Linked DNA regions of Saccharomyces cerevisiae S288C. The protein of the gene in region 1 binds, or shares a complex with, the protein of each later gene. Each region holds a gene or a part of one and is shown in the gene's direction. Other genes may lie near its edges.

The links.
Region 2: the proteins of LCD1 (region 1) and MEC1 are in contact, whole or in part, in a cryo-EM structure (PDB 6Z2W), measured with the Saccharomyces cerevisiae proteins. Residues at the interface, in NP_010787.3 of Saccharomyces cerevisiae: Lys187 (codon at 3,740), Asn189 (codon at 3,746), Met190 (codon at 3,749), Val191 (codon at 3,752), Pro192 (codon at 3,755), Leu193 (codon at 3,758), Asn194 (codon at 3,761), Arg197 (codon at 3,770), Ile199 (codon at 3,776), Leu212 (codon at 3,815), Gln214 (codon at 3,821), Ile216 (codon at 3,827), Tyr233 (codon at 3,878), Gln308 (codon at 4,103), Phe309 (codon at 4,106), Arg310 (codon at 4,109), Pro311 (codon at 4,112), Asn345 (codon at 4,214), Met346 (codon at 4,217), Asn347 (codon at 4,220), Leu348 (codon at 4,223), His349 (codon at 4,226), Val350 (codon at 4,229), Glu351 (codon at 4,232), Pro352 (codon at 4,235), Ile354 (codon at 4,241), Gln356 (codon at 4,247), Tyr357 (codon at 4,250), Glu373 (codon at 4,298), Arg377 (codon at 4,310); in NP_009694.3 of Saccharomyces cerevisiae: Ser24 (codon at 1,571), Val26 (codon at 1,577), Ile28 (codon at 1,583), Asp67 (codon at 1,700), Ser71 (codon at 1,712), Glu82 (codon at 1,745), Tyr83 (codon at 1,748), Asn116 (codon at 1,847), Tyr117 (codon at 1,850), His118 (codon at 1,853), Arg119 (codon at 1,856), Trp121 (codon at 1,862), Phe122 (codon at 1,865), Arg125 (codon at 1,874), Ala133 (codon at 1,898), Glu136 (codon at 1,907), Phe137 (codon at 1,910), Tyr138 (codon at 1,913), Gly139 (codon at 1,916), Lys140 (codon at 1,919), Lys143 (codon at 1,928), Phe144 (codon at 1,931), Leu165 (codon at 1,994), Gly167 (codon at 2,000), Lys168 (codon at 2,003), Thr169 (codon at 2,006), Glu170 (codon at 2,009), Leu171 (codon at 2,012), Tyr186 (codon at 2,057), Tyr192 (codon at 2,075).
Region 3: the proteins of LCD1 (region 1) and RFA1 are in contact, whole or in part, in a crystal structure (PDB 8B4J), measured with the Saccharomyces cerevisiae proteins. Residues at the interface, in NP_010787.3 of Saccharomyces cerevisiae: Ser10 (codon at 3,209), Ser11 (codon at 3,212), Asp12 (codon at 3,215), Asp13 (codon at 3,218), Asp14 (codon at 3,221), Asp15 (codon at 3,224), Asp16 (codon at 3,227), Ile17 (codon at 3,230), Leu18 (codon at 3,233), Glu20 (codon at 3,239), Leu21 (codon at 3,242), Gly22 (codon at 3,245), Thr23 (codon at 3,248), Arg24 (codon at 3,251); in NP_009404.1 of Saccharomyces cerevisiae: Arg35 (codon at 1,966), Lys36 (codon at 1,969), Asn43 (codon at 1,990), Arg44 (codon at 1,993), Leu47 (codon at 2,002), Lys58 (codon at 2,035), Leu60 (codon at 2,041), Arg62 (codon at 2,047), Glu86 (codon at 2,119), Ala88 (codon at 2,125), Val90 (codon at 2,131), Glu92 (codon at 2,137), Arg93 (codon at 2,140), Lys95 (codon at 2,146), Val97 (codon at 2,152), Leu99 (codon at 2,158).

Annotation. Positions count from the first base shown.
Region 1 is NC_001136.10:1,444,649-1,452,604, forward strand, and holds LCD1 (Lcd1p), read left to right. Parts: upstream 1-3,181; coding exon 3,182-5,425; downstream 5,426-7,956. Other genes in the region: myo-inositol transporter ITR1, read right to left, coding at 1-819; SEC20 (Sec20p), read right to left, coding at 1,195-2,346; 60S ribosomal protein eL37 RPL37B, read right to left, coding at 5,550-5,809, 6,199-6,205; PLM2 (Plm2p), read left to right, coding at 6,705-7,956. UniProt on the Saccharomyces cerevisiae protein: Forms a complex with the serine/threonine kinase MEC1 which activates checkpoint signaling upon genotoxic stresses.
Region 2 is NC_001134.8:504,167-511,667, forward strand, and holds the start of MEC1 (protein kinase MEC1), read left to right. Parts: upstream 1-1,501; coding exon 1,502-7,501. Other genes in the region: HSL7 (protein arginine N-methyltransferase), read right to left, coding at 1-121; cyclin-dependent protein kinase regulatory subunit CKS1, read left to right, coding at 688-1,140. UniProt on the Saccharomyces cerevisiae protein: Serine/threonine protein kinase which activates checkpoint signaling upon genotoxic stresses such as ionizing radiation (IR), ultraviolet light (UV), or DNA replication stalling, thereby acting as a DNA damage sensor.
Region 3 is NC_001133.9:156,254-160,482, reverse strand, and holds RFA1 (replication factor A subunit protein RFA1), read left to right. Parts: upstream 1-1,863; coding exon 1,864-3,729; downstream 3,730-4,229. Other genes in the region: tRNA splicing endonuclease subunit SEN34, read right to left, coding at 690-1,517; COMPASS subunit protein SWD1, read right to left, coding at 4,198-4,229. UniProt on the Saccharomyces cerevisiae protein: As part of the replication protein A (RPA/RP-A), a single-stranded DNA-binding heterotrimeric complex, may play an essential role in DNA replication, recombination and repair.

The DNA of each region.
Region 1 (7,956 bases):
GTAGTATCTTGGAGTGTCAGGTAAAAAGCACAGGCATGTGAATTGCACAGCAGTGGGAATTAGTGACAATCCAACAAGAATTCTCCAACCATTGTTGACGTAGTTTAACCCAGCACCGCAACCGTAAGCGACTAATTGACCACCAGTCAACCATAAGGAATTGATGACAGTTAGTCTCCCTCTGATCATTTTGGGAGCAATTTCACTGATGAAAAGTGGCGCGATCAAGGAGCCGATACCGACACCGAAACCCATGATCAGTCTACCAACAGCCATTTGCCAGAATGTGTGTGCGGAGACCTGTAAGATTGCGCCAATGACAAACATCAGATTCGAACCCATTAAACAACGTTTCCTACCAAATATGTCAGCTGCAGTACCGGCGAAAATACTGGTAATCAAAGCTCCCAGAGAGGTAGCCGCAGTGACAATTTCCTTCTCCCCATAAGTAAGTACCTTGTGGTCCAGATCTGTGCCGATCGAGATCAGCGCACTGGATATATAACCAGTGTCGTAACCAAACATGAAACCGGATATGGATGCGACAAAAGTCAGAGTGATGATGAAGGGCGAAAGAGATTGGTTAAAAGTGATCATGACCGACGTGTCATCCTCGTCGTTCACGGGTTTAATTTGAATCCTATCTTCATCATCGCTAGCGGGAGCCCTCTGTATTTCATGTGACTCAAGTGTAATTTTACCTCTCTTTGAAGGTGAGTCATGCTCACTGTTGAACTCTACACTATCAGCGTTGCCAACGGCATCACCAACATTTGATTGCGATGTCTTTGACGTGAGATATGGTATGTGTATTCCCATTTTAACACCCACTGCAGAAACAAAGAAAATGAAAGAGATGTATACAGTAGGACGACCAATAAATCTGAATAGCGCACCAAACTGAAAGAGAAGAATAGAGCAAACACCTGCCAAAGAAAAGCCCAAGTGTGAAAGGTCTTTTCTCAACTATGGCTTGATTCCTTTTATATTTTTTCCATTTTGCAACAGCGCGTTGAGCTTGGTCGAGCTTTTTTCACATGCGGTGGGGAAGGCGTATTTAGCGCAACCAGTGGGGGGTATAAGCTATACCTAACGCATGTGAAGAGAACAGAAACAATGGTGAGAGAAAATAAATGGAGAGGATGGAGAGAACTAAGTATATGCGCTTATTATGTTATATAGATGTTAAAATTATCATAGCTCATCATGTGAGACGATCCTGTCCACGGCCTCATCGACAGCCCGCTGGATACTACTGACGGCTGATACAGATGCGAATGGTTCCACAGAGGTTGCTGAGGATGTAGTTGTAGTGGCTAGAATGGGTGCATTTAGCACAAGACTGGGTGCTTGAAGAGAGGACGAGGAGCCTGCATAGCTTTTAACTAGACCTAGGGTGACGAGTATACCCTTGAAAAACTTGAATAGCAGCCAGAGGCCGAGTTTAACAGGTAACTTGAAAATACGACGCCATAGAACCCACGAGACGCAGCATAGGAGGAACCCAAGTGATAAATAGACATCTCGTTTCTCTTGATGGGAGGCATTTTCCAGTACTTTGACCAAATCGGCAGTTTTCTTGAAGACGGTTTCGAATTGAGTGTACTTGTCATCGATTTGTGTTAAGGAATTGGTTTGGGCTCTCAATTCATCCAAATTCAGGTCACTTTGTAAAATTCCGGACTGCAAAATTTGATTTCCTCTCACCAAGTTATTCGTCAGTTGTTTTGTTTTGCTCAAAAGCTTCTCTCTAGTGCTGGCTTTTTCCATCGATGTGGACGTTAAGCTTGACGATGACGACGTTCCTTGGTGAAGCTTGTCGTAATCCACAGCGTGAAATTTTATAGCGCGGTCTCTTTTCTCGTCGTTCCAAGCTAAGTCACGTTTGTGGTGTTGTCGTAGAATCTCTTTGACTTTCAGGCGGTAGCAATAGAACCAATCGACGAATTGCAACACGAAATCCAGTTCTTCGACCAACTGAGCATATATGTCCTCGTTCATTTGTTTATCAAGCTTCACAATATGCAACTTATCGCATTGATCGTATCTAGGGCTTTTTTCCCACTGTAATTTTAATTCGGGGTATTTGTAGGTCATTTCCACAATACTACATTTCAGTACCGATTCGAAATCTGAAACTTTGCTCTCTATAATATTCACCAAATCCTCAAATTCAATCTCTTCTTCTTCATCATTGTGTTCGTTGGCAATGGCTGCAAAACTGTCCTTATTATCATGCTTGCTTTCTCCGCTTTCTTTTCTGCGGGAGATTGCACTTAATTTTTGCAAATTATTTAATAATGCATCTTGCAAAACTTCCAGGTCCTGCAAAAATGTCACGACCATAATCTTTAATGGCTTTATAGTTTGTTATGCGCCTTGGCAGCGTGATCCGATCTTACTTGTTAACTGTATATCAGGTATTTCTGTTGGCATTTTTACAACTGCGAATGTATTTTTCATTATTTAGTAACAATTCTATTTACCCGGACAGCGTGTGCAGGTGATTTATTGATAAAGTCACTGGTAAAGACGTGCTTTCTTTAGTGTGGGATTAGATTTACCACTTGTTTTGAGATTAGGAAAATTCCAACGTTTGCTAAAGGTGCAAACGAAGCTGTTTTGTTGCTTTTCTTTTCTTTATGTAATTGTATTTACCATGATCCTCTTTGGTGCGGCGCTAACAATAGAAAAAAATACACACACATTAGATTGGAATTAGAGCTTAAGTGGTACAAACTAGGGCTAATAAAGAGGTAACGGTCGGTTCTCTACTAAGGTTCGTATTGTGTGGCACCGATGTTAAGCACTTTTAAGCGGAATAACTCGAGTGGAAATTTTATGTTTAGTTAGGTTTTACCTTGAATTTTTTTAAAAAAAAAAGAGTCAGACAGGCTCGCTCTTTCCTACTAAATATTAGGAGCAAAGCAGTAAAAAGTCTCTGAATAAGGATAGTAACCTGTAGTAACTCCAAAATTTATCTTACAAAGAGCTATTAGTATCTTGGTTCTTCTATTTTCTTCGATTATTGGTGATTTTTCCCGCCTCTAGCCAAATCCGAGCGTTCCATCGATTTTTTGGGGAAAACAGCACATGCAATAAAATAAAAAGCAAACAAATACGCGATAGTGCACGAAACGTCAACACAATCATCAAACTCTTTTGCATATTTCTATTATAGATGAGACGAGAAACGGTGGGTGAATTTTCTTCAGATGACGATGATGATATTCTTTTGGAATTAGGCACCAGGCCTCCAAGGTTTACTCAAATACCGCCATCATCAGCAGCATTACAAACACAAATTCCCACTACTTTGGAGGTTACAACGACCACATTAAACAATAAACAGAGTAAAAATGATAACCAACTGGTTAACCAACTGAATAAAGCTCAAGGTGAAGCAAGCATGCTTCGTGATAAAATAAACTTTTTGAACATTGAAAGGGAAAAGGAAAAGAATATTCAAGCCGTCAAAGTTAATGAATTGCAAGTCAAGCATCTTCAAGAGTTGGCTAAATTAAAACAAGAATTACAGAAACTGGAAGATGAGAAGAAGTTCTTACAGATGGAAGCGAGAGGAAAATCGAAAAGGGAAGTTATTACGAATGTAAAACCACCGTCAACAACATTATCAACAAACACAAACACTATAACGCCAGATTCGTCCTCAGTTGCAATCGAAGCAAAACCTCAATCACCACAATCAAAAAAACGTAAGATAAGTGATAATTTACTGAAAAAAAATATGGTTCCCCTAAACCCAAATAGGATTATTCCCGATGAAACGAGTTTATTTCTAGAGTCAATATTACTTCATCAAATAATAGGCGCTGACCTGAGCACAATAGAAATATTAAATAGATTGAAGCTTGACTACATCACAGAGTTTAAATTTAAGAATTTCGTCATTGCTAAAGGAGCCCCCATAGGGAAGTCCATAGTTTCTCTACTTTTGCGATGTAAAAAGACGTTGACCCTCGACAGGTTCATAGATACTTTGCTAGAGGATATAGCTGTTTTGATCAAGGAAATATCAGTTCATCCAAATGAATCGAAATTAGCTGTCCCATTTCTCGTTGCATTGATGTATCAGATTGTACAATTTCGTCCTAGTGCCACTCATAATTTAGCACTGAAGGATTGTTTTCTTTTTATTTGCGATTTAATAAGAATCTATCATCATGTATTGAAAGTACCGATACATGAATCAAATATGAATTTGCATGTAGAACCTCAGATTTTCCAATATGAACTGATAGACTATTTGATAATTTCGTATTCCTTTGATCTCCTAGAAGGTATATTAAGGGTACTGCAGTCGCATCCTAAGCAAACTTATATGGAATTTTTTGATGAAAATATTCTAAAATCATTTGAATTTGTCTACAAACTAGCACTAACCATTTCATACAAGCCAATGGTAAATGTAATATTTAGTGCAGTCGAGGTCGTTAATATTATCACTAGTATAATATTAAATATGGACAATTCCTCAGATCTGAAATCCTTGATAAGCGGTAGTTGGTGGAGAGATTGTATTACAAGATTATACGCTCTTTTGGAAAAGGAAATTAAGAGTGGCGACGTATATAATGAAAATGTGGATACTACAACTCTTCATATGTCGAAGTACCATGACTTTTTTGGGTTAATCCGAAATATAGGTGATAATGAATTGGGAGGATTGATATCAAAGCTGATTTATACTGACCGATTGCAAAGTGTCCCAAGGGTAATTTCTAAAGAGGATATTGGGATGGATAGCGACAAATTCACTGCCCCTATAATAGGTTACAAGATGGAAAAATGGCTTTTGAAGTTAAAAGATGAAGTTTTAAATATTTTTGAAAATTTATTAATGATCTATGGAGACGATGCGACCATAGTAAATGGAGAAATGCTCATCCACTCCTCTAAATTCTTATCCAGGGAGCAAGCGTTAATGATAGAAAGGTACGTGGGACAAGACTCCCCGAACTTGGACCTCAGATGCCATCTTATTGAACATACTTTAACCATAATATATAGGCTATGGAAAGACCATTTCAAACAATTGCGTGAAGAACAAATCAAGCAGGTAGAAAGCCAATTGATTATGTCACTATGGAGGTTTCTCGTATGCCAAACCGAAACTGTGACAGCAAACGAAAGAGAAATGAGAGATCATCGACACCTTGTAGATAGTTTGCATGATCTGACGATAAAGGATCAAGCCTCTTATTACGAAGATGCCTTTGAGGATTTACCAGAATATATCGAAGAAGAATTGAAGATGCAATTGAATAAAAGAACGGGGAGAATAATGCAAGTAAAGTACGATGAGAAATTTCAAGAAATGGCAAGAACTATTCTTGAGTCAAAATCATTCGATCTAACCACACTAGAGGAGGCCGATTCATTATATATCTCAATGGGACTGTAAGGCAACAATCAAAAGGGGAAAATGTCAACGCTTTATAGAAACCTTGTAATGCTTAATATTAACTATATATAATTTATATTATTTTCGTTTTAGGAAAGAACAAAACTTATAGATAATATCAAATTTAAGCAGAAGTAGCCTTAGCAGAACCGGTTTGGAAACCGTTCTTAAATCTTCTGGAGACATGCTTCAAATATCTCATTCTACCGGTACCAGTAGTGTGTCTTCTCTTTGCCTTGGCAGCCCAGTTGTGAGATCTAGTCTTAGCGGATGGGTAACCACAAGAGGAACAGGTCTTCTTTTGAACATGGAAAGAACGACGACCACATCTGTTACACAAGGTGTGAGATTTGTTGTGACGCTTACCGAATGAAGGAGTACCCTCTGTTTAAAATGAAAACATAAAAGTTAATTATCGTTAGTAAAACTTTGAACTAAATAAACTCTACTGCTGGATTCAGAACAACTTCATTGGCGGTCTAGATGTGTGTTGCTGTCTTACACTATTTCTTCTCACCTTTTTGTATTGACACTCAAATCTTTTTATTCGCTCTTTATGCATCCGTTATGTGCAATTTCTTATCATCAATGGCTCTGGCAACATTCATCATTCTATATTTTTAAATCTTTTGGCATAGTGAATAACGTAGGTCTTAGTTTACCTGGCCTCTCCTGGTGGAAAATTTTTTCAGTGCTTCTTTCTCATGTAATCCTCTAAATCAGACCGGATGTGATTGAACGTTGACTCATCAATTAATAATTCCTGTACATACTACCCATCTTTACTTATATATTCGTTTACCTCTTTGTTCTTTATCTACACATAGTAGTGCTTTTTGTTACCGCTTTCTATAGTAACCTATGCTTACTATTCCAGCCATGTTTCCAATCTCATCCTTCCCGCAAGTGGCAGGAAGATTCTCAGTGATAATATTAGTGGTGTACGGAGTGCTTGAAGAAAAAAAAAACTGATATAGAACCCAAAAATGTTCGGCTTTTAAAATACAAATATGTACAGGTGTTAATGTCTAAATAATGATAATCCAAACGCGATAATTTTTTTTTCGCGTTTGTTTTTGTTTCAGAAGAATAAGTAAACACTTCTGCCTCTCCCAAGAAAGTTTAATTTCTCTCCTTATTTGCCGTTTCTATCGTTACTAGCAACGGGGAACAATATATAGAAGCGTTTTTTTTTTTGGTATACTATTTACACAATATTTGCCGATTTCATTAGTCTTTTCGCTAGAAGTTTCACGACAAAATCGTCACAATTTTGGTTATGTCCCATCTCTTCCCACCATCATCACCAGTTGCTGGTAAACCTTTGGAAAGCCCACAAAAAGAACCTGGTAAGCTTGCTAATACTTCTGTATTGACCTTAGGAAGAAAACGGTATAATTACGAATTGGAAGAGTATCCTACTCCAGACCCGTCGTCTAGCATCGGAAGACAATCTTCACCAGTGAAAGATATCACTTCACGTTTAAATGAGACCAAATCTGCCTTGTCATCTCCTTCAAAGCAAGAAAAGGTGCTTGCAGGCCCTATCGAGATTGAATTAGATGCATCGGATCCCTCACGTTTAGCCATCGGTAGGAAAAAATCAGTCTGCAACATTATTTTGCCATGCAGAAAGAATATCTCTAGGCAGCACGCTTTTATTTCATACGCCGCCGACAGAAATGAAATAAAATTGGAATGTAATGGAACTAATGGGTTGTCCGTTCACTTGCCTTACTCCATGCAGTTGCATTTGGTAAAACCCTTCCCAACAAGGAACTTTTATAAACTAGTGGCAGAAGAGCCTTTGACCTCGCAAAATACTAAACAATCGCATGGAAAAACTCTTCAAAAGAACCAAAACTTCATCAGCTTTGTTTTGGCTAAAGGTGAAACTGTTACTTTCCCCTATATCCAAGGAAGTTTCATAAATTTTACAGGCGTCACAGTCTGTCTTTCATTGAAAAAAGTAGCACCTTATCCTGGCGATGGCAACAATAACTTTGACGAAGAGAACTCGACAGAAACGGAGGATGAGTTGTGTTTATTAACAACAACGAGCGATGATTTTTCTTGGCAAAAAGAAACACCTTCGATGAAATTTGTCCCAGTTGAGCATTCACCTCGTACAGAACAGATCTCAAAACCATTACTTATTGCATCTCCTGCTCTTGTGAAAAACTCCCCCATTAGTTATAGAACAACACCCCAAACATCTTTCGTTATTAATCAGCCATCAACTCCAAAGAAACTGAAGCGTAAATCAATTTCATTGAAAAATAACACTATACAAGAGACACCACTTCCTAAAGATAAAATAATTGGGACATTAAGTGCCAGTACTAGGAGTGGTGGCATTAATGAAGAAGAATCTTTCGCAGCAGTTGCAAAAAAAACTAAAGAGCTGTCTTCTACAACCGCGATTGTATCTCCTGCACAAAAACGTCTTAAGACTTCATTGAATATTATTCCCGAAATTTCTCGGTCGCTCTCAGAAAGAGGAATTCGGTTTGATGACCTAGTTCATGTGC
Region 2 (7,501 bases), on another chromosome or scaffold:
AATCATAGTTACTAGGCAGTTCTGGTGAATGACTAGAGACATTTTCTAGGAAACGTGACTTTTTGCTGTGCTGTTTATGATTAAAGCCTGGTTTGACACCAACAAATACGTTGCTATGCATATGCAAACTGAACCCTTTGTATATATAAAAATTATATGTATAAAAGAAGAGGAACGTCCGCACAATTCCACACACACACACACACACACGCTTTCACACACGCAATTTGAAATAGCTCCTATAGGGCTTGGGAATAGGATCACAAGTCACTCGAAATATACCATTTTTTCTATCACACATACACATTGTATAAAGCCATTTGTTTCAAAAAAATATAAAAACACTGCGCAGCGTGCTGTTTCGGGTTCCATTTGTGATTGTTTATTTTTCTTTTGGTTTAGCTCAGTGCAAAACGAGGGCTCGAAGAATTTTCAGATAAAACAGTACTCGAGCCCTGAGATCTGTTTTAGGGTCTAAAAGGCGGGTTATAAAAATATGTCAGGTGATTTTTTTTTCTCGTGGTATGAGATAAATAAAGAATGGAGCTTTTATGCATGAAAGGACAGCGGATGGCAGTAGAGCAGACATCAGTAGCATTCATTACAACTCTGTCGTAAGTTCTTGGAACTGCTGGCCGCGTTGGATACAACTAGATTGACACGCACTTACTCTCGTCTTACAGTACTATGTACCATCACTATCACGCCTTCCAAGGCAGAAAGCTTACTGACCAAGAAAGAGCACGCGTGTTGGAGTTTCAAGATTCCATTCACTATTCTCCGCGGTACTCAGACGATAACTATGAGTACAGGCATGTGATGTTACCTAAGGCCATGCTAAAAGTTATCCCATCTGATTACTTCAATTCGGAAGTGGGGACCCTGCGTATATTAACAGAAGACGAATGGAGAGGCCTCGGCATCACACAGTCTTTGGGGTGGGAACATTATGAATGCCATGCGCCAGAACCACACATTTTGCTATTCAAAAGGCCGCTGAACTACGAGGCCGAGCTGAGGGCAGCGACCGCTGCTGCTCAACAGCAACAGCAACAGCAGCAACAGCAGCAACAACAACAACAGCAACATCAAACACAATCGATTTCGAACGATATGCAAGTTCCACCCCAAATCTCCTAGCTTTGATATACTCTAATTACTGAAATTGAATTCCTTTTCAAGGCTCCATAACTATATGGAGCATACTATGTACTTATCATAATAAAGAATAAACAAACAAGCAAACAAAAAAAAAAAAAACTATGGATCATAGTTTTCACCAACAAGCATTAGAATACAAATAAAATTTATATAGTGAATATCCTTCAAATAAATTTCTTCTTTCCCTTATAAATCAAATAGATGGAACGCACGCTCCAAAACTAGTCAACTAGAAAAAAATACCCGCCGACGGACAATTTTGAAGAGAGATGATTAATGAAGACAAAGTGAGGCTGGACAACAAGAACGACATACACCGCGTAAAGGCCCACAAGACTGCATGGAATCACACGTCAAATATCTTGACGAATTGATATTGGCAATAAAAGACCTGAACTCGGGGGTGGATTCAAAGGTGCAGATTAAAAAAGTGCCCACGGATCCATCTTCTTCTCAGGAGTACGCCAAGAGTTTAAAGATCCTGAACACCCTCATAAGAAACCTAAAAGATCAAAGAAGGAACAATATCATGAAAAATGATACTATATTTTCGAAAACAGTTTCCGCCCTTGCCTTATTGTTGGAGTACAACCCCTTCTTGCTTGTTATGAAGGATTCCAACGGGAACTTTGAGATACAAAGGCTGATAGATGATTTCCTCAACATATCCGTTCTGAACTATGATAATTACCACAGAATATGGTTTATGAGGCGAAAATTAGGCAGCTGGTGCAAAGCATGTGTCGAATTTTACGGAAAACCTGCTAAGTTTCAGCTTACTGCACATTTTGAGAACACCATGAATCTTTACGAACAGGCCTTGACTGAAGTCTTGTTGGGCAAGACTGAGCTTCTCAAATTTTATGACACCTTGAAGGGTCTATACATTCTTTTATACTGGTTCACTTCGGAGTATAGTACTTTTGGGAACTCTATAGCATTCTTAGATTCTTCTTTGGGGTTCACGAAATTTGACTTTAACTTCCAACGATTAATCAGGATTGTTCTTTACGTCTTTGATTCCTGCGAACTAGCAGCACTAGAATATGCCGAAATCCAACTCAAATATATTTCTCTAGTTGTGGACTATGTTTGCAATAGAACAATTTCCACAGCCCTGGATGCCCCAGCGTTAGTTTGTTGTGAACAATTAAAGTTTGTATTGACTACTATGCATCATTTTTTGGATAACAAGTATGGGCTCTTGGATAATGACCCCACTATGGCCAAAGGAATTCTTCGACTATATTCTCTTTGCATTTCTAACGATTTCTCAAAATGCTTTGTAGACCACTTCCCAATTGACCAGTGGGCAGATTTTTCACAAAGTGAACATTTTCCGTTCACGCAGTTGACTAATAAAGCTCTCTCGATTGTATATTTTGATTTGAAAAGAAGGTCCCTACCTGTTGAAGCTTTAAAGTACGATAATAAGTTCAACATCTGGGTATACCAATCGGAGCCGGACTCGAGCTTGAAAAATGTCACTTCTCCCTTTGATGATCGATATAAGCAGCTGGAAAAGCTAAGGTTGCTAGTACTAAAGAAGTTTAACAAGACAGAAAGAGGAACTTTGCTCAAATACCGCGTGAACCAGCTAAGTCCTGGATTTTTTCAAAGAGCTGGAAACGATTTCAAGCTAATTTTAAATGAAGCATCTGTATCCATTCAAACTTGTTTCAAGACAAACAATATAACAAGGCTAACATCATGGACTGTAATTCTCGGACGTCTAGCCTGTCTAGAATCAGAGAAGTTTTCCGGCACTCTGCCAAATTCCACAAAGGATATGGATAATTGGTATGTTTGTCATTTATGCGATATTGAGAAAACTGGCAACCCTTTCGTGCGAATAAATCCAAATAGACCAGAGGCTGCGGGTAAATCAGAAATCTTCAGGATACTTCATTCAAACTTTCTATCTCACCCAAATATAGATGAATTTAGCGAATCTTTGTTAAGTGGCATCTTATTTTCTCTACATAGGATATTTTCACACTTTCAACCTCCAAAACTTACAGATGGAAACGGTCAAATCAATAAGAGCTTTAAACTGGTACAAAAGTGCTTTATGAATTCTAACAGATACCTACGTTTATTAAGTACTAGAATTATACCTTTATTCAATATATCAGACTCTCATAATTCCGAAGATGAACACACTGCCACGCTGATAAAGTTTCTACAATCTCAAAAATTGCCAGTGGTGAAAGAAAATTTAGTCATTGCTTGGACACAATTAACATTGACGACTTCTAATGATGTATTTGATACACTACTTTTGAAACTGATTGATATTTTCAATTCTGATGATTATAGTTTACGAATAATGATGACTTTGCAAATTAAAAATATGGCCAAAATTTTAAAGAAAACACCATATCAATTACTATCGCCTATTTTACCTGTATTACTAAGACAGTTGGGAAAAAACCTCGTGGAAAGAAAAGTTGGCTTTCAAAATTTAATAGAATTATTGGGATATTCTTCAAAAACAATTCTCGATATTTTCCAGAGATATATCATCCCTTATGCAATTATTCAATATAAGAGCGATGTGCTAAGTGAAATTGCTAAGATTATGTGTGATGGCGATACAAGTTTAATTAACCAAATGAAGGTTAATTTACTGAAAAAAAACAGTAGGCAAATATTTGCCGTAGCTTTGGTAAAACACGGATTATTTTCTTTGGATATCTTGGAAACCCTTTTTTTAAATAGGGCTCCAACTTTTGACAAAGGATATATAACTGCATACCTTCCCGATTATAAAACTTTAGCTGAAATAACGAAGCTCTACAAAAACAGCGTTACTAAAGATGCAAGTGACAGCGAGAATGCTAATATGATTTTATGCTCTTTGCGATTTTTAATCACCAATTTTGAAAAAGACAAAAGGCATGGTTCGAAGTACAAAAATATCAATAACTGGACGGATGATCAGGAACAAGCGTTCCAAAAGAAACTACAGGATAATATCTTAGGTATTTTCCAAGTTTTTTCGAGTGACATACATGATGTTGAAGGCCGCACCACTTACTACGAAAAGTTAAGGGTTATCAATGGCATTTCTTTTCTTATCATATATGCCCCCAAAAAATCAATAATTTCCGCATTAGCCCAGATTAGTATTTGTTTGCAAACAGGACTTGGGCTTAAGGAAGTTCGATACGAGGCCTTTAGATGTTGGCATCTGTTAGTTCGCCATCTAAATGATGAAGAACTCTCTACTGTTATAGATAGCTTAATTGCATTCATACTTCAAAAGTGGTCTGAGTTCAACGGAAAACTTCGAAATATAGTGTACAGTATACTGGATACCTTAATCAAAGAGAAATCGGACCTGATTTTGAAATTAAAACCTTACACTACTTTGGCTTTAGTAGGCAAGCCTGAATTAGGTATTTTAGCTCGTGATGGCCAATTTGCAAGAATGGTGAATAAAATAAGAAGTACCACGGACCTTATACCCATATTTGCTAATAACTTGAAAAGTAGTAACAAGTATGTCATAAACCAAAATTTAGACGATATAGAGGTATATCTTCGGAGAAAGCAGACAGAAAGATCGATTGATTTTACACCAAAGAAGGTTGGGCAAACTTCTGATATAACATTAGTTTTGGGTGCTTTATTAGACACTTCTCATAAGTTTAGAAATTTAGACAAGGACCTATGCGAGAAGTGCGCCAAATGTATCAGTATGATTGGTGTTTTAGACGTTACAAAGCATGAGTTTAAAAGAACAACATATTCAGAAAACGAAGTTTATGATTTGAATGATAGTGTTCAAACTATTAAGTTCTTGATATGGGTCATAAATGATATCCTCGTTCCTGCGTTTTGGCAAAGTGAGAATCCCAGCAAGCAATTGTTTGTTGCCCTTGTCATACAGGAATCATTAAAATATTGCGGGCTAAGTTCAGAGTCATGGGATATGAACCATAAAGAATTATATCCAAATGAAGCCAAACTATGGGAAAAGTTTAACTCTGTCTCCAAGACAACCATCTATCCGCTTTTATCTTCCTTGTATCTTGCGCAATCATGGAAAGAATATGTCCCGCTAAAATATCCTTCTAATAACTTCAAGGAAGGATACAAAATTTGGGTGAAAAGGTTTACATTGGATTTATTGAAAACAGGTACAACAGAAAATCATCCATTACACGTGTTTTCCTCTTTGATTAGGGAAGATGATGGCTCACTATCAAATTTTTTGCTACCTTATATTTCTCTGGACATTATTATCAAGGCAGAAAAAGGAACTCCATACGCTGATATTTTAAACGGGATTATTATTGAATTTGACAGCATTTTCACGTGCAATCTGGAAGGAATGAATAACTTGCAAGTGGATTCGTTAAGAATGTGCTATGAATCCATCTTCAGAGTTTTCGAATATTGCAAAAAATGGGCAACTGAGTTTAAACAAAATTACAGTAAACTACACGGCACTTTTATCATTAAAGATACGAAAACAACTAACATGCTTTTGAGAATAGATGAGTTTTTGCGAACAACCCCTTCAGATTTGCTAGCTCAACGCTCCTTAGAGACGGATTCTTTTGAAAGGTCTGCTCTATACCTTGAACAGTGCTATCGACAGAATCCTCACGATAAGAACCAAAATGGACAACTACTGAAAAATTTACAAATCACATACGAAGAAATAGGAGACATTGACTCACTCGATGGTGTACTGAGAACCTTTGCTACAGGAAACTTGGTTTCTAAAATTGAAGAATTGCAATATTCTGAAAACTGGAAACTCGCACAAGACTGCTTTAATGTCCTCGGCAAATTTTCAGATGACCCCAAAACTACAACCAGGATGCTAAAGTCTATGTATGACCACCAATTGTATTCTCAAATAATATCGAACTCTTCGTTCCATTCTTCAGACGGAAAAATTTCTTTGTCTCCAGATGTGAAGGAATGGTACAGCATAGGTCTTGAAGCTGCAAATCTAGAAGGCAATGTTCAAACTTTGAAAAATTGGGTAGAACAAATAGAGAGTTTAAGAAATATTGACGATAGAGAAGTACTTTTGCAGTACAATATTGCGAAAGCTTTAATTGCCATCTCAAACGAGGATCCATTAAGGACTCAAAAATACATCCACAATTCCTTTAGGCTTATCGGAACAAATTTTATAACGTCATCTAAAGAGACGACGCTGCTAAAGAAACAGAATTTATTGATGAAATTACACAGTTTATATGACCTCAGTTTTTTATCTTCTGCGAAAGATAAGTTTGAATACAAAAGTAACACTACCATACTCGATTATCGAATGGAACGTATTGGGGCTGACTTCGTGCCAAATCATTACATATTGTCAATGAGAAAGTCATTTGACCAATTGAAAATGAATGAACAAGCAGACGCTGACTTAGGAAAAACATTCTTCACTTTAGCCCAATTGGCGAGAAACAACGCTAGGCTAGATATAGCCTCCGAATCATTAATGCATTGTTTGGAAAGGCGGTTGCCTCAGGCAGAGTTGGAGTTTGCTGAAATACTATGGAAGCAAGGTGAGAATGATAGAGCCTTAAAGATAGTGCAAGAAATACATGAAAAGTATCAAGAAAATTCCTCGGTTAATGCTCGCGATCGTGCCGCCGTGCTATTAAAGTTTACTGAATGGTTAGACCTTTCGAACAATTCAGCGTCCGAACAAATTATTAAACAATATCAGGATATTTTTCAGATTGATTCTAAATGGGATAAACCATATTACTCTATTGGCTTATACTATAGTAGACTACTTGAGCGCAAAAAAGCAGAGGGTTATATTACTAATGGTCGTTTTGAGTACAGGGCAATATCTTACTTTTTATTGGCATTTGAAAAGAACACTGCTAAAGTAAGAGAAAATTTGCCCAAAGTTATCACGTTTTGGCTAGATATTGCGGCCGCATCAATTTCTGAAGCTCCTGGAAACAGAAAGGAAATGCTGAGTAAGGCTACGGAAGATATATGTAGTCATGTTGAAGAAGCGCTGCAGCATTGTCCCACTTATATTTGGTACTTTGTTTTGACTCAGTTGTTATCTAGGTTATTACATTCTCATCAATCATCGGCCCAGATAATAATGCACATACTGCTAAGTTTGGCTGTTGAATACCCCTCTCATATTTTATGGTATATCACAGCCCTTGTAAATTCCAATTCTTCAAAAAGAGTTCTTCGTGGTAAGCATATTTTAGAAAAGTATAGACAACATTCGCAAAATCCTCATGATCTAGTTTCTAGTGCATTGGATTTAACGAAAGCATTAACTCGTGTCTGTTTGCAAGATGTCAAAAGCATTACAAGTAGATCAGGCAAATCTTTA
Region 3 (4,229 bases), on another chromosome or scaffold:
AGAAATAGTCATCTAAATTAGTGGAAGCTGAAACGCAAGGATTGATAATGTAATAGGATCAATGAATATAAACATATAAAACGGAATGAGGAATAATCGTAATATTAGTATGTAGAAATATAGATTCCATTTTGAGGATTCCTATATCCTCGAGGAGAACTTCTAGTATATTCTGTATACCTAATATTATAGCCTTTATCAACAATGGAATCCCAACAATTATCTCAACATTCACCCATTTCTCAGAACCAACTATCTTCGATCAATTTGTATTAAAACTGCTAGCATATTATCATATATGATGTAAAAAGACGACATAAAGGTCGAGTAACAATCATCCGATATAACGGAAGCTGAAATCCGAGGATCGATAATATAGCATAATTACTTGTATGAACGATGCTAAAATATTTGTTCCTTCACATCTACACGTGGAAGTAAATGAACTGGATGTCAACAGTTTAGAAGAGCTTTTTTTTCGGTTCTGGTAAACATTCAATAAACTGTTTTGCTCCCACTAAATATAAATAAACATAATTATATGTCTAGTGATAAACAACTACTTTCCCGCTGAATGCATCAAAATATCAATGCAAATTTAAAAATTGTATTACACATATGTATGCTTCTGAAAAACCTTATAAATACATAAATTCTGAGAAAATAATTATACATGACTGATTCCCAGCTTAACCAAATCCAGCCCATTCTATTGAGAAGAAATGAGTTTCCTTTGTCTCTTCCGCAACACCGCCTATGACCCAAAGTTTTTTCACAGTCGTTCCTAGTCTTGCACCACTTATCATGGATATTAGGTCAATCGGCTCATTATGATAATCAATCGCATCTTGTATCGTCAGATGTGAATGGAAACGAAGAGGATCACCAGGGTATGCTATAAACTTCCCACCAAAACGTCCACCTGGGGACAAAACGTACCCTTGATCTCTCAATGCCTTGTATAAGAAATAGGTCTGCATTTTTCCTGCCTGTCTGTACTGCTTAAATAACAAATCACTGATATCATCGCGGGATAAGCTGTCTGAATCACTCCGTATGTCTCTTAAAATCATAGAGGTATTAGCAATGTCAATGAACAAAGAAGATTCAATTAGCTGGTCATTATTGCTAGATTTATCAAGCCGTTGCAATTCTTCAGCTGTGGTTTTATCATTGATTCTACCGATTTTCTTTAATTTTGCAATGTGTTCATCCTTTTTGAACTTTCTCTGATATTCAAATGACTTGTTCAAACGATCGTTGACAATTTTAGATAGTTTGGCGCCCCGCTCTAATGTTATTCCCTCCATAATCTCATCTCCCTCTTGTCTTATTAATTTCACATCGGCAAGATTGTTCAAATGCAGCCACAGCACATCTTCTAACATAAGCCTCAAAGGTACCGACAAAAATACATTTTGCTGTGCTGCAGTAGGCAAAGTTCCAGATAACACACCACAAATACCCCATTTCCTTAGAAGTTTGATGTGATCTATGTCAAATACTAGCGGTGGCATAAAAACCTCCTCGCCTTTTGCCGTTCTTTTTGCATATATGTTAATAGCTATGCGCGTACCACCTTCTTCAGCCATATACGAAAGGATCTATGCTAATTGGGTGGATTTCTTATCGCATCACTTTCTTATTCTCTAACTCTTCTTCGCTGCTCAATAAAATATCTCTGCTTGGAAAAATGTCACGCGTAAAAATTAGACGAGGCGACAAAAGACGCGTGAACTAACATAAAGGTTTACTTGAACAAATGTTATCACTTTAAGTTCTACACGTAAAACAAAAACTATTCACTCTTCTTATTACGGTAAAGGCGAAACCAGCAAGAAGACCAGATTATACTTACAAGAGATGAGCAGTGTTCAACTTTCGAGGGGCGATTTTCATAGCATCTTCACCAATAAGCAAAGGTACGATAATCCCACCGGTGGCGTTTATCAAGTTTATAACACCAGGAAATCTGATGGGGCTAACAGCAACAGAAAGAATTTGATCATGATTTCCGATGGTATTTACCATATGAAGGCTCTGTTGAGAAACCAAGCTGCATCCAAGTTCCAGTCAATGGAACTACAAAGGGGTGATATCATTCGCGTGATAATTGCAGAACCTGCTATTGTCAGGGAAAGAAAGAAATACGTTCTTTTAGTAGATGACTTTGAGTTGGTCCAGTCGCGTGCTGATATGGTCAACCAAACTAGTACTTTTTTGGATAACTATTTCTCAGAGCATCCAAATGAAACCTTAAAAGACGAAGATATAACTGACAGTGGTAATGTTGCCAATCAAACAAACGCCAGCAATGCTGGTGTCCCTGATATGCTGCATTCAAACTCAAACTTGAATGCAAATGAGAGAAAATTCGCCAATGAAAACCCTAATTCGCAAAAAACCAGACCAATTTTTGCCATCGAACAACTGTCTCCATACCAAAACGTTTGGACTATCAAAGCAAGAGTTTCCTACAAGGGAGAAATTAAAACGTGGCACAATCAAAGAGGTGATGGTAAACTATTCAATGTCAACTTCTTGGATACCTCTGGAGAAATCCGAGCCACGGCGTTTAATGATTTTGCTACAAAATTTAACGAAATTTTACAAGAAGGCAAAGTATACTATGTATCAAAGGCAAAACTCCAACCAGCTAAGCCCCAATTTACTAATCTAACACACCCTTATGAACTGAATTTGGATAGAGACACTGTTATAGAAGAATGTTTCGATGAAAGTAATGTTCCGAAAACCCATTTCAATTTCATCAAACTAGATGCTATTCAGAACCAGGAAGTAAATTCCAACGTAGACGTCCTCGGTATTATCCAAACTATAAACCCACATTTTGAGCTAACTTCAAGGGCTGGGAAGAAATTCGATCGTCGTGACATCACAATTGTTGACGACTCTGGGTTTTCTATCTCTGTTGGCCTATGGAATCAGCAAGCCCTTGATTTCAACCTTCCTGAAGGTTCTGTTGCTGCCATTAAAGGTGTTCGTGTGACGGATTTTGGTGGCAAATCTTTGTCTATGGGATTTTCTAGTACCCTGATTCCGAATCCAGAAATTCCTGAGGCATATGCCTTAAAGGGTTGGTATGATTCCAAGGGCCGCAACGCAAACTTCATCACTTTAAAGCAAGAACCCGGTATGGGTGGTCAATCGGCTGCTAGCTTAACAAAATTCATTGCTCAGCGTATTACTATTGCTAGAGCTCAAGCTGAAAATCTAGGAAGAAGCGAGAAAGGTGACTTTTTTAGTGTTAAAGCTGCTATAAGTTTCTTAAAAGTTGATAATTTTGCATATCCTGCCTGTTCTAATGAGAATTGTAATAAGAAAGTTCTGGAACAGCCTGATGGTACTTGGAGATGTGAGAAGTGCGACACCAATAATGCAAGGCCAAATTGGAGATACATCTTGACAATATCAATTATTGACGAAACCAATCAACTATGGCTCACTTTATTTGACGACCAAGCTAAACAATTATTGGGTGTTGATGCTAATACATTAATGTCTTTGAAGGAAGAAGACCCCAACGAATTCACAAAAATTACTCAAAGTATCCAAATGAACGAATATGACTTTAGGATTAGAGCGCGTGAGGATACATACAATGATCAAAGCAGAATTAGATATACCGTTGCTAACCTACACAGCTTGAATTACAGGGCTGAAGCCGACTATCTTGCCGATGAGTTATCCAAGGCTTTGTTAGCTTAATGTATCAAATAATCAAGTACTATTTAATCTATGTAACATATGAGAAATGTAAAAAAAAAACTTCTATTTCGTCAAGTTTTTGAAGGGCGGTTCAGCATCTCTTGATGACTGGATATGAAACTACACGTTCAGTCATATGAATTTGAACCCATAATGCACAAATGAATAAAAATGCTAACAAATTCTAATTAATGGCATGGTACTAACACCCAACAATTTACCGCCCTTTAGGTGTACAGCTTCAAATAACAAAGCTTTACAAATTCACCTTCAACATTTACGTTCAGTAGTATGAAATTACCATCATGACGTGCTCCTATCAAAGTGAGATTATTGCACTTCGTATTATTAGGAAATTACCAAAAAATGCAAAATTTTTCAATTCTGTGTCAAAGAAATCGCGGTAGGCATGACTATACCTCTTCAGTGTCAGTTGCCTATTTAAACTTTCTCCTTTTGAAGAGAAACCTATGATGACTGCATCTTAATTATCCTCGTAT